3 linked regions of the Saccharomyces cerevisiae S288C genome follow. The gene in region 1 interacts genetically with each later gene. Each region holds a gene or a part of one and is shown in the gene's direction. Other genes may lie near its edges.

Evidence for each region.
Region 2: mutations in YOL036W (region 1) and STB1 together harm fitness more than expected from each alone (negative genetic interaction), as found in Saccharomyces cerevisiae (2 studies listed by BioGRID).
Region 3: mutations in YOL036W (region 1) and ALK2 together harm fitness more than expected from each alone (negative genetic interaction), as found in Saccharomyces cerevisiae (2 studies listed by BioGRID).

The regions. Positions count from the first base shown.
Region 1 is NC_001147.6:254,971-259,530, forward strand, and holds YOL036W (uncharacterized protein), read left to right. Parts: upstream 1-1,774; coding exon 1,775-4,060; downstream 4,061-4,560. Other genes in the region: YOL038C-A (uncharacterized protein), read right to left, coding at 1-51; PRE6 (proteasome core particle subunit alpha 4), read left to right, coding at 367-1,131.
Region 2 is NC_001146.8:50,612-54,461, forward strand, and holds STB1 (Stb1p), read left to right. Parts: upstream 1-2,050; coding exon 2,051-3,313; downstream 3,314-3,850. Other genes in the region: putative SCF ubiquitin ligase complex subunit SKP2, read right to left, coding at 1-1,077; ZIM17 (Zim17p), read right to left, coding at 1,296-1,820; KRI1 (Kri1p), read right to left, coding at 3,511-3,850. UniProt on the Saccharomyces cerevisiae protein: Involved in the regulation and timing of MBF-dependent transcription in late G1 of the cell cycle.
Region 3 is NC_001134.8:205,372-209,724, forward strand, and holds ALK2 (protein kinase ALK2), read left to right. Parts: upstream 1-1,822; coding exon 1,823-3,853; downstream 3,854-4,353. Other genes in the region: bifunctional glycerol-3-phosphate/glycerone-phosphate O-acyltransferase SCT1, read left to right, coding at 1-446; LAA2 (Laa2p), read right to left, coding at 736-1,578; YBL008W-A (uncharacterized protein), read left to right, coding at 4,038-4,277; HIR1 (Hir1p), read left to right, coding at 4,282-4,353. UniProt on the Saccharomyces cerevisiae protein: Serine/threonine haspin-like protein kinase involved in cell cycle regulation.

The DNA.
Region 1 (4,560 bases):
GAATAAATTTGTTGTAGCCGCTTTCCTCAGGAAGGACCCCATGTATTTCATCAAATCATATAAGTTGAATATCCCATCAATTGCGTACCTAGTACTTAAATAAAATACTCACGTCGCTTTCTTTGAATATTTGGAAATGAATTGAGACCTAGTGTGCTGTGTGCCCTTGTTCATTGACGATTAAAGCTTTAAGGACCATTACTATGGGTAAGAATATCATCCGGGCAACGGTATTTCTTAATCTTTTCGAAGATTCTTTTGCCACCGGAAGGGAAAGAAAAGACATCATATATAGGTGGTAGCAAAACCTTCAAGTTAGTGCTCAGCAGTTCATCAGGATCAGTTGCATAAACACAATTACACAAAATGAGTGGTTACGATAGAGCTTTGTCCATTTTCTCCCCAGATGGACACATTTTCCAAGTGGAGTACGCCCTGGAGGCGGTAAAGAGGGGTACCTGTGCTGTAGGTGTCAAGGGTAAGAATTGTGTAGTATTGGGCTGCGAAAGAAGGTCTACTTTGAAGCTGCAAGACACTAGAATTACGCCTTCCAAAGTTTCCAAAATTGACTCGCATGTGGTGTTGTCATTTTCTGGTTTAAATGCAGATTCCAGAATTCTTATCGAGAAGGCTAGAGTGGAGGCCCAAAGTCACAGACTAACGTTGGAGGATCCCGTGACGGTGGAGTATCTCACACGTTATGTCGCTGGTGTGCAACAAAGGTACACGCAGTCAGGAGGTGTTAGACCATTTGGTGTGTCGACGCTGATTGCCGGCTTCGACCCGAGAGATGATGAACCCAAGCTTTACCAGACCGAGCCAAGTGGTATATACTCTTCGTGGTCCGCTCAGACCATTGGGAGAAACTCCAAGACGGTACGTGAGTTTTTGGAGAAGAATTACGATCGCAAAGAACCACCAGCCACAGTGGAAGAATGTGTCAAACTTACTGTAAGATCTCTGTTGGAGGTAGTTCAAACAGGTGCAAAAAATATTGAAATCACTGTTGTTAAGCCGGACTCAGATATTGTTGCGTTGAGCAGTGAGGAAATTAACCAGTACGTCACCCAAATCGAACAAGAAAAGCAAGAGCAGCAAGAGCAGGACAAAAAGAAAAAATCTAACCATTAAAAACGGCGATATATATTGGGCATAAAACCTATATAAAATAACAGCAATAATAAAAATGCAAAATATAACATAGCACGGTATAGTTAGCTCATATATGTTTTAACGAGCCTTACATTATATCATTTAATACGATCTCATGTTTTTCGGATTTCGGATCTCGCCAAGAAAACTTGCTGATATAGAATGGAATGGAATGACTTCAAAAACTGCCCACTCATAAAGTTTGCTTCTTTAAATTGAATATATATTCACAGTCCGATTTGAAAAGCTTACCATCTGCCACACGCATTCTACTCCCTAATTTCCACACACAGTGTTTTTGTTTCTATAAAGAAAAAGAAAACCAAAATACTGTACTTTTTCCCATAATTTTCTTTCCATACGCCTATATGCCCATACTTTGCCCGGTTTATCGAACAACGCTGTGAATTTTGCGAGTCATAAAAGACTTATCGTACCATTATACCCCATTCATTATCAAAACATTATCTTATTTATATATCCAATTTAAAATCCTGTTTTTTAAGAAATAATTTCCAATACATTATTATAACTTATTGATACCTATTTAGAATCGATATTTGGTCTTTTCTTTGAGAAGAAAAAAGAAAAGAAATAAAAAAAAAGTTCACAAAAGTTTGTCATGGAACACCAAGATAGTTCGCCACCTAGATTCAGGAACTCTGGCTCTAATAGAGTCACTGTGTATAACGGTACTACCCTGCCTACGATGCCCAAGAGCGCCACACCAACATCGAGCTCAACAACAGTTACTACGCATTTGCAAAATATTAAGGAGGAGGAAACAAACGATGACGAACTCACCCAAGTGGATCGTTCATCTCCTCGTGTTTTGGGGAGGATCTCCTCTACGTCCTCATCTTCATCCAATATTGATTTGCGCGATAACTTGGACATGTTACACGAAATAGAAAAATCAAATACTAATATTTCTTTATCAGCTCCTAATTTGCATGAGGAACTGGGCGTTCTCAGCGATAAAGGTAACAGTAAAGAAGAATTGGCTTTGTTACCACCTTTACCTCACACAGGAGAAATGGAAATCACTCCACAATTTGATATCAACGAGGCTATTTTTGAACGAGATGACATCAGCCACTCTTCAAGGCTAGAACCAGATGACGTGTTAACAAAGTTAGCGAACTCTACTCGAGATGCTACGGGTGAAGATCAGGGGTTTGTTGTCATGACTCATGGCCACGATGCGTCGACAAACGACGATTCGCAATTAAGCGCTACTATTCTTGACAATCAGACGTCATTTGATCTTTCTAAAGCTCTAGAGATGACTAGCCATTCAAATATTTCTAATATTATTAATAGTTCCGGTTCTGAGGGAAGACGTTCAAGGACACCGGTAAGCAATTCCACTCTGAAACCAAATTTATCATCTCCTGAAAGCGCAGAACGTGAAGCAAACACGACTTCGTCCTCCTCTACGTCGGATCACGGGGCAACAATGCAATATGATCCCAAGAAAATAATAACTCCAATTCCTGTTTTACCTTCCTCTGTCCGTGAACAGCAACAGAACAATGCACCTTTGAGAGAAAGAAGCAGATCTAATTCTAGTGCACTGGCATCTACACTGAGAGATACGATCATTTCAGGACTGCCTCAAAATATTAATTCTGTAGAAAGAAAGTTATCAAGGAAGAGTAACAGGAGTAGGAAGAATACGGTGACTTTTGAAGATCGTCTTCAGAAATTGCCACCCTTAAGCACCCAAATTTCGAACCAGTACGCCAAGGTAGCACCAGCTGAGAACAATATCGCCTTACACTTTCATAACTTACCTACACCAGTATCAAACACTCAAACGCCTGTTACGTTTCAGTCTGAATCCGGACTGACAGGGGGAGAAAAGAAAATGCCTTTTTTGAGAAGAGCATCTAGTGCCCTATTAAGAAAGACATCTGCCAAAAATTGCTCCAATTTAACCAGAACAAATACACCTACTTTATCGACATCCTCAACATTTGAGTCAGATCTAAATGCTCGGCAGCCCATGCTAATTCGACGATCTTCCACTATTGATAATAAACTACCTAGGAGGCAGCTTTCGTGCTCGAAGCTTTATTCGCGCCTCAATTCGGACAGCAAGTTTGCGAATAGCAGTCGAGCTTCGGAGGAGGTCTTAGTGTCCACTCCAAATGACACAGAACACGTCTACAGAAAGACATCTCTAGGTTCTAAGATAAAGAGAGGTTTTACTAGAATATTGAGCGACAGTAATAATAGTAAGGAAATTCTCACTTTATCACCCAAATCTATGGTGACTACGGGGCCTACAGAATTGTCGTTTTCCTCTTTATCAACCGTGGGAGGACATCCGACAACGCCAGTCTCAAAAGAAAATGATCGAGTTTCAATAGATGGCGTGAGTACATTTAATCGAGCATCAACATCTCTTCCAGAATCATCAACAGACGACATCTCTCCACTACGCGAAGAAGGTAAGATTAATGTTCCTAAAAGAACGTCAAGTAGAAAGATACTGTCTAAAAATTCAAGCAAAAAAAATGTACTGCCTGAACAGCAAACAAAGCCAAGTGAAATATATCTGGATAAAGAAGCCTTACAAAGTTTTGTTCCCGTACTCTCTGTCACAGAGGGTACTCATCGCATCAATCGCTCGTCGTTACAAACGCAATCTACCATCGGATTATGCATTACCAATTTAAGAAACAAAGAAGGCATGAAGCTCAATGCCAAGGAATACGTGGAAATCCTGGCTCAGCAGCAACGCAAGGAAGATGAAAGGTATGCTGTTTTGGAAAGAAAATTTGCATCTTGTAGATGGTGCAGTGATAAGGACCTGCAGTATTTGAAAAAGAAACGAATTTCCATGAATAAGATATGGTCTGATTATGTCCGATTTTACCGTGGAAAGTTGAACAACCCATGAAGGAAAAAGGTCTTGGCTATATATAACGGCAGACAAAATATAAGTATACACGTATATATGGTGGTAAACACGCATATACTGTATGCCATGTATTTACCATTACATAGTTATTTACGCACTCTATAAAAAGTTAACATTGCATTTTAATAAATTCCTTAAATTACTCTAATTAGGATGGTAGCCCTACCTTTTTTTTTTTTGGCACACATGGTCAACTTTTCTTCTCATGCTTTAAAAGGCGAGAAAAAATGAAAATTAGCAAAATGACCTTTCCCTCCTTCCCACATTGAATATATACACTGGAAGATATAAGCAACCAGTACTGTAGATAAAAAAGATCACTACGATATTCGTCGGACTCCAGTCGGAGTGCAGTGCCCGATTACTCTTAATTGCACGCATCGTGCCAAGTTTAATTGGTATTGCTCGAACATCTAGGAATAAGAGAAGGACTTACTTTAGAATGATGAAAGAGGTAGCAATTTGCAGCAGATTTTTCG
Region 2 (3,850 bases), on another chromosome or scaffold:
CATTGGAGTATCTAGCGATTCGGTGTCTATCGTTACATTTTCTAGTTTAAGTTCATTAATTATGCCGAAACAGCAGAATAAACTCGGTCTTAGTACGAGCTTTTGGTGATGGCGTTGACGATTAAAGGTTCTTTGTCTTTTATTATTAGCTTTGATTTCCAGTATTTTCAACCTTGGCAGAGAATAATACTTGGATTCGTATTCTTTGACAAATTTTTTGGATAGTTGGAAAGTCCTCAAATCTTCGTTTGTGATGGATTGCTGGCCCTTGATTATTTTCTTGAAAAAATCTCTAGATCCATCGTTGAATACAGAGTACCATAAAGGAATTTTAAAATTCGGTTCCACATCACTCAGAATCACTCTGGTCAGGTTCGGTAGATAGTCTATAATATCAAGCATTAGCTCAATATAAGTATAATGGAAGTAGTTGCTTTCCAATTTATCAAGCAGTTTGATTCGTTCTGAAGTTATGATGGGAGTCTCATCGTTTAGTCTGATGTTATTCAGTTTTTTTACGTCTTTATCATACGAATCGAGTTTATAAGATCCAGCAATAATAGAATCTTGGCCACTCTTATTATAGAACTTACTGTATTTTAACAACGAGTCTTGGGACTGAGGATTTTTGAATTCGATGGATCTTACGAGGAACCTTGCATTTTGTGATCTAGATTGTGTGCTACAATCACCGCTGTGTGTGACAATGTTCGACGTGTGGAACTCGGAGTGTATCAAAGCATTGAACTTTAACAACGAAAGTTTTGAGTCCAAAATAACGTTTTGGAAAAGGAACTCATTCGTAATCAAATTGTAGAACCTCGAATTGACTTGGCATAGTGTTACTAATGTATTGAAGTCCAAAGTTCGCAGTATTAACAGTAGAACTTTTGTTGGCAAACACATGAGGGACGATTTATCGTTGAAGCGTAGTGATCTCGATTTGATATCATGGCTCGTACTATGTAGAAGGCTTTTGGCATCAGCACAGCCCTCTTCCTCTTCTTCTTCCTCCTTCGCAGCACTGGAGACCAGCGAGAAATATTTTGATCTACCAAACAATTGCAACCGTTTCATGATTCGGTTGGTTTGAACGTTTGAAAATGCGGTTCAACTTTTCATATCTAGCAGTGGCTCATCTTTATGTACTCTAGTCCTAAATCTTCTGCTGGTTATCGCAAAAAAATATGTGATGTGCGGGTTTTTGGCAGTAATCATGACTCAGTCTCTGGAAAAACGTGCTATTTAACGGTTATATATCTATCTATGTACATGCCTGTGCATGAGCTCTTCATTCATTTCTGGGAAGGGTGAGGGAGCTGGGATGCATTTTCTGAGTTGTTCTTGGCATATTTTCCCAGGACGTCCTTTAGCGAATCTGGGATGTCTTCAAACTCCAAGTCGCCCACGTCTTGGCTAACTTGTTCTCCGTTAGCTTTCATTAACTGTTCCACGGTAACATGATGATCATGGAATATTTTCAGATGGTCTGCTATCAAATGTCTCACTTTGCAGTGCGGACAAGAGATCAAGACAGTACCTTTCTCGTACGCCTGCTTGGACATTGTGTGTGAAGATCGGGTGTTACATTTCTTGCAGGTGAAAGCTATCATCATCTTAGGCTTGTCTACCTTAAAAGACCCCAAATGAACCTTCTTATCGTCCTTTTTCACTTCATTATGTGCGATGATATTGGTATGCAACGCTGCTGCGGGTAGAGTACGGCACACGTTGTAGCGTACGCGAGGCGCCCAACATCTGGCAAAGTACCTGGTAATTGGTATTTTACTTTGCAGTAGTGTTCTAGTCCTCGGAATCATGTTCAGTCTCTTGATATTCCAGTTGCACCGGTGCTGCTTTAGTATCGCTGATCCCTTGAAGCCAACATGACGCTCTTTCACCTTTCCTCTCATAATTTTGATATCACGCGAAAATGCAAGAAAAAAAAATTACAATTATGAAGTGCAGAAGGAACCAAAAATATCATCGAAAGAAGGAGTACGTAGAGCGTTACTATTTTCAATCAGTGTTCCCATTGTGCATACAAGAAATGTCTCAACCCCAGATGTCCCCTGAAAAAGAGCAAGAATTGGCCTCCAAGATTTTGCATAGAGCTGAGTTGGCTCAGATGACGCGTCAATTAAAGCTTGGTTTAAGTAATGTCCCATCAACAAAACGAAAACAGGACTCTACAACAAAGAAAAGAAGCGGAGAGGATGCCGAAGATGTTGATGAGGACCACAAAACTCTTTTGGAAGCCATATCGCCTGCGAAAAAGCCTCTCCACGATGATACAAATAAAATGACTGTTATATCGCCCGTAAAATTTGTAGAGAAGCCAAATACTCCCCCAAGTTCACGCCAACGAAAAGCCGAAGACCGCTCACAGCAGATCAAGCCTAGGAAGGAGGACACTCCATCTACTCCGAGGGCTTCTGCTACACCTATAATCTTACCACACGCTTCGTCACACTACCAGCGCCCCCATGATAAGAATTTCATGACGCCAAAACGTAATAATAACAACAGCAGTAACCATAGCAATAACAATAATAATATCAAGAAGAAGGCAGCAGGCTCTAAGGATGCTCCACAGGACAGCGACAACACTGCGGGCGCTGATCTCTTAATGTATTTAGCCACAAGTCCATATAATAAGTCATCACATCATGGAACACCGATGGCCGTAAGGATGCCCACTACTCCACGCTCTTATCATTACGCGTCGCAATTGAGTTTGAACGGTAATACAGCAAGCACATCAAACGATGCAGTAAGATTCTCTCATATCAAACCTTCAGCGTCTTCTCCGCAGTCCACTTTCAAATCTAATCTGTTACCGAATTTTCCGGACGAATCTCTCATGGATTCTCCATCACTATACTTGAGCAATAATAACGGTAGTGTCCAGGCGACACTATCGCCACAGCAGAGAAGAAAGCCCACCACAAACACATTGCATCCACCTAGTAACGTACCTACCACGCCTTCAAGAGAATTGAACGGTACCAATTTTAACTTACTCAGGACGCCCAACTTCAACATGGGAGACTATCTGCATAATCTTTTCAGCCCTTCACCAAGGGTCCCCGCCCAGCAGGGAGCGTCAAACACGTCAGCTTCAATTCCTTCTGTTCCAGCGATGGTGCCCGGATCATCTTCCAACACTTCTGCGATAGCAACAGCTGCTATATCAAGCCACACCACAAACAATTTTCTAGATATGAACGCAAACGGGATCCCGCTCATTGTAGGACCCGGCACCGACCGTATAGGCGAAGGGGAGTCCATTGATGACAAACTCACTGATTGATCGTTGACGGCCATATCAGTTGATGATTCCATACTTCCTGAAATGGACCACTCAAAGGGACAAAAATGACAAATGTTGAAATTATAAAATTACATATTAATACGTAAAATGACATTCTTTTTTAGGGAAATTCGGAGATAGATTATCACTATGTAAGCTTATGTATCGTAATATACAGGGCCGATATTTCACCTAGTTTACTTTTTCTGGTGGCCTTTATGTTTATGACTGTGCCCCCTCTTGTGTTTGCTTTTAGAGGCTTTCTCTACAGGTATCAGTATGGTGTCCTCATCCTTCTCCCCTGCCTCTGCTTCGACTGGAGCTAACCCATTTTCGTTCTTAAAAGTTTTCTTCCTCCACTCTCTTAATCTTCTTGCCTTCATCACTTTCCTTTTATCCTTCGCTCTTAGTTCCTTGGAACGATAAGGTGCAAATTTCTTCAAACCAATAAATTCATTTAAATCAGTATCATCGGCGGCGAAAATCTCTCTTGCGGTCAAACCGAAACTCTCAGGAGAAACTTCACGGTAACGAAAC
Region 3 (4,353 bases), on another chromosome or scaffold:
AGGAAGAAGATCGAAAAACCTCAGAATTGAATCGCAGGAAAATGCTAAGAAAACAGAAAATAAAAAGACAAGAAAAAGATTCGTCATCACCTATCATCAGCCAACGTGACAACCACGATGCCTATGAACACCATAACCAAGATTCCGATGGCGTCTCATTGGTCAATAGTGACAATTCCCTCTCTAACATTCCATTATTCTCTTCTACTTTTCATCGTAAGTCAGAGTCTTCCTTAGCTTCGACATCCGTTGCACCTTCTTCTTCCTCCGAATTTGAGGTAGAAAACGAAATCTTGGAGGAAAAAAATGGATTAGCAAGTAAAATCGCACAGGCCGTCTTAAACAAGAGAATTGGTGAAAATACTGCCAGGGAAGAGGAAGAGGAAGAAGAAGAGGAAGAAGAAGAAGAGGAAGAAGAAGAAGAAGGGAAAGAAGGAGATGCGTAGATGCCATTTACTGACGGTGAAGATACTAGAAACTAAATCTTTCGCCGTTCTATTTATGTAATAAACCCATTATTGCTCATTGGGAGTTGTAAATATTAATGCTCAATGTTTATGTATATCCCTCGCACAGGGGCTTTTTATTTCTTGAGGGGGGGACTAATTGTATAATTGTATGTTTTATAAAAAAGTATATTGCTCTTTTACGACTTTTGGTCTGGTCCCCTATGCTACTAATAACATTTTATTCTCTTCAAACTTCAACGTTCAACCTGCTTTGCCGAGACGGCGATTAGTATCCTACCCAACTGAACCTTTTCTTTTTGTTTCGCTTTTTGTTATACAATGCAATTTCGTCTCGCTGTAGTCTTTGGGTATGTCCTGTCAAATTCGTCACTACATTTTCAAAAGTTGTCTTATCCTTTAGGAGGTCTCGCTGTTGTTTCTTCAATGATCTTGATTTACTAACCAAAAAGTCAATGGATTGACACAATGTATCGTGGTATTGGCGTAAAGATTCTTCATCCATACTAGTAAAATCTGCCATAAGCAATTGCGGTATATGCTGCTCTTGCTCACGCTCCTCTTCCTTTTGAAGAGATTTTAAAGTCATTGGTGGTGTATAGTCAATTTTGAAATTATCCCTCAGGAAGAGACCAGTAGCCGTTTGCTCATTTTTCTCCACTGCATCGCATATCCTTTTGAACAACTCATCATTCAACGGTTCTTCCTCCCTCTTCGTACCAACACCCTCAGAGCCATTATTATCCGATAATCTCAAAATGTGGAGCAAGTTTCTGCGTATATGAGATTTATTCCATATGAATGGCTGTAACACAGGATCTAATTGTACGAGTTGTTCATAAATGACATGGGGTCGTTCATCTTCAATAAGTTTGCTCAGCTTGAAACAGTCATTCTTTATGGTTTCTTCTTCCAGGTCAAATTCTCCCTTTGGTAGTATCTTATTCAAGCAGTTATCTACTACAGATTCGGAAGACGTCGTTAAAGTAGAATTCTGGTTATAGAGGTCATTTTCAACTGAGGCATCTGAAAAATTCCCAAAATCATCACTAGAATCACTTTCTGCATCTAATGCATTTGTGACAGGTTCTATCTGATCTCTATCGCTCATTTGCTTGCTTTGAAAGAGGTGCCTTTTTCTATCTTGCTACACCTTAAATTCTCGTTTGTGATACGCCTAACGTTTTTTTTTTTTTTCAGTTTTGATAGCAATTCGCGAAACTTTTTGTAACATCTTCTCTTCTCGAAAAGCGAAAATAGTAAACAATAACTTAAAGCGTATTGGTATTAATATATTTAGTTGTAGTAAAATCATTTCACCAAACACACATACATGCGCTATTTGTATTGAGAAAATGAATTTTGATGCGGTAGCAGATCAACAGATGACTGACAGAAGGTATTTTGCTCTCGAAGTAGCAGAAAGCGATGATGCCGACAGCTCATTAAATTCTTCATCCATGGGAAGCCCCGCAGTGGATGTAGGAAGAAAAGTTTACAAAATCACTTCGCACAAGGGTTCAGCAGAAGATGAGAGTCAATCCTTTTTTACTTCTTCAGATTCTCCAACATCCAAAACAAGGCCTGTAGGTAAAACCATCGAAAACGATGATTACTATGGTAAAAGATCTTCTACAGGTTCATCGCTCAAACAACTCTTCAATAAAATTAATATTAATGATACCGCTCACTCTTCAAACAAAGAAAATGTATCTCAGTCGGTGCTATCGGAAAACAAGCTGCTCTCTCCATCTAAAAGGTTGTCGAAGCAAGGTCTTACAAAGGTGACTAACTCCAAGTTTCGTACACCCTTGAGACCTATTTCAAACCAATCGACTTTATCAAGGGATGAGCCTGTTAAAGATTTTAGATCACTTAAGTTTCGGAGCGGTAGTGATTTCAAATGCTGGGGTGACGAGAAGACAAGTTCTCATGTTCATTCATCCAGTGTGAACTCAGTTAATTCCTTTACTTCTACCACCTCTTCTTCAAAGTGGAAGTTCTGGAAAAATGATAACCTATTGTCGAGGTCGCTATCTTCCAGATCTGTGAATGACCAAGATCCGAACTTTGTTCAGCCAAAACCAACCAATTCGTTACAAAAGAAGTCTTCAATTTCAAGTTTTCACAATTCTATTTTTGGTGGTGGCAAACACACAGAGAAGAAGAGGAATTCTGGATTTATTATGCCCGATCATCAGAGCACGAAGGAGCTAAACCACAAACATTCATCATCGAACCTTTCCTTTAGAAGTTTGAAGCATAAAACATCACATTCTTCACTAAATAAGCTCAAAGTAAGGCGTAAAGGAAATACACAAGAACTGAATCATCCGATCAAAAAAACTTGCCAAATATCATTGCCTGTTCCAGACCAAGTCTCAAAGGACAAGATTCAACTGAAATTGAAAAATTCAACATCATTGGCATCCTTATCTTCAGAAGTCACTCCCATAAACACTTTGGACTACAATGATTCAATTTTGCAACAAATATTACAACTTTGTGATGTTAAGTATATATTACATGATCTACGTGAAGCTCAGTCATTAGGCTTGTTTACGTTGAATACTAGATCGGTTCAGCTGTCTCATAACTTTTGGCAAACTTATCATAGCGATATGCAAACTTCACTCATTTGCAAGAAAGTATGTCTAGGGGCTCTAAGTGATTTGACTACTTCAAACTTGATATCCTTACATGAATTGAAATCATTACGGTTAATACAAGGAACTAGCGGTGTCGCCAATTTACTGCAAGCTTATGTTGTGCCCTCAAATCAATGTGAAAATGACCAAAACTTGATACTGTACTTATTTTTCAAATACCAGGGAACTCCTCTATCAAGGTGCTCTAACATTGATTACTCTCAAGCATTGTCTATTTTCTGGCAGTGCAGCAGTATTTTATATGTTGCTGAATCCAAATTTCAGCTCGAACACAGGAATCTAACTTTGGACCATATTTTGATAGACTCTAAAGGGAATGTTACTTTAATTGATATGAAGTGCTGTCGTTTCTTGAATATAGACAACAATAAGGCTTCCTATACAAGATTAGACCATCATTATTTCTTCCAAGGCCGGGGGACTCTTCAATTCGAGATATATGAACTGATGAGAAGCATGCTGCCTCAGCCAATATCCTGGGCTACATTTGAACCAAGAACAAACCTATTATGGTTATATCACCTAAGTAGCAGCCTGCTAAAAATGGCCAAAAAAGCCGTAGTCAGCGGCGCTTTGAACCGGGAAGAAAATATCTTAATCGAGTTGACGCACTTACTCGATCCTGCTCGAAAACATTCCAAAACAATTTTCAAAAAGGAACTTGTTATAAGAACTTGCGGTGATTTGTTATCTTTGAAGGGAGAAATAATGCAGTAAAGACATCGTAGTAATAAGGTGCAAGCTTTTGTATCCTTCTTAATGATTTGTAAGCAAAAAAAAATTACGTACATCAATTTGTAATGGAAAGGAAATAAATAGTATAATATGAACACTCTTTCTGAGAACAGTTATCTTTAGCTTGCCCCACAAACTGAAAGCACATTTTTAAAATGTTTTACAGATGAAAATGAACCCTTGTACTGTTATCCTCTGTAAGTCGTTATTTTTCTTTTGCCTTTTTCAGGTTGACTGCTACTGTAATCGTAAGAATATTCAAAATCAATCATCTCGCATCGCAACAAAAATAAAACGAAGTTACTGGTTTAGGTGGCAGAAACATATAATATTGGCGAACATTCATAAAATAATTAAGGCTTACCAACGAAGCATAATAAAATTGCCAGTAACCAAAGGTCTCTGATAACATGAAAGTGGTAAAGTTTCCATGGTTGGCTCACCGTGAAGAATCGCGAAAATATGAAATATACACAGTCGAT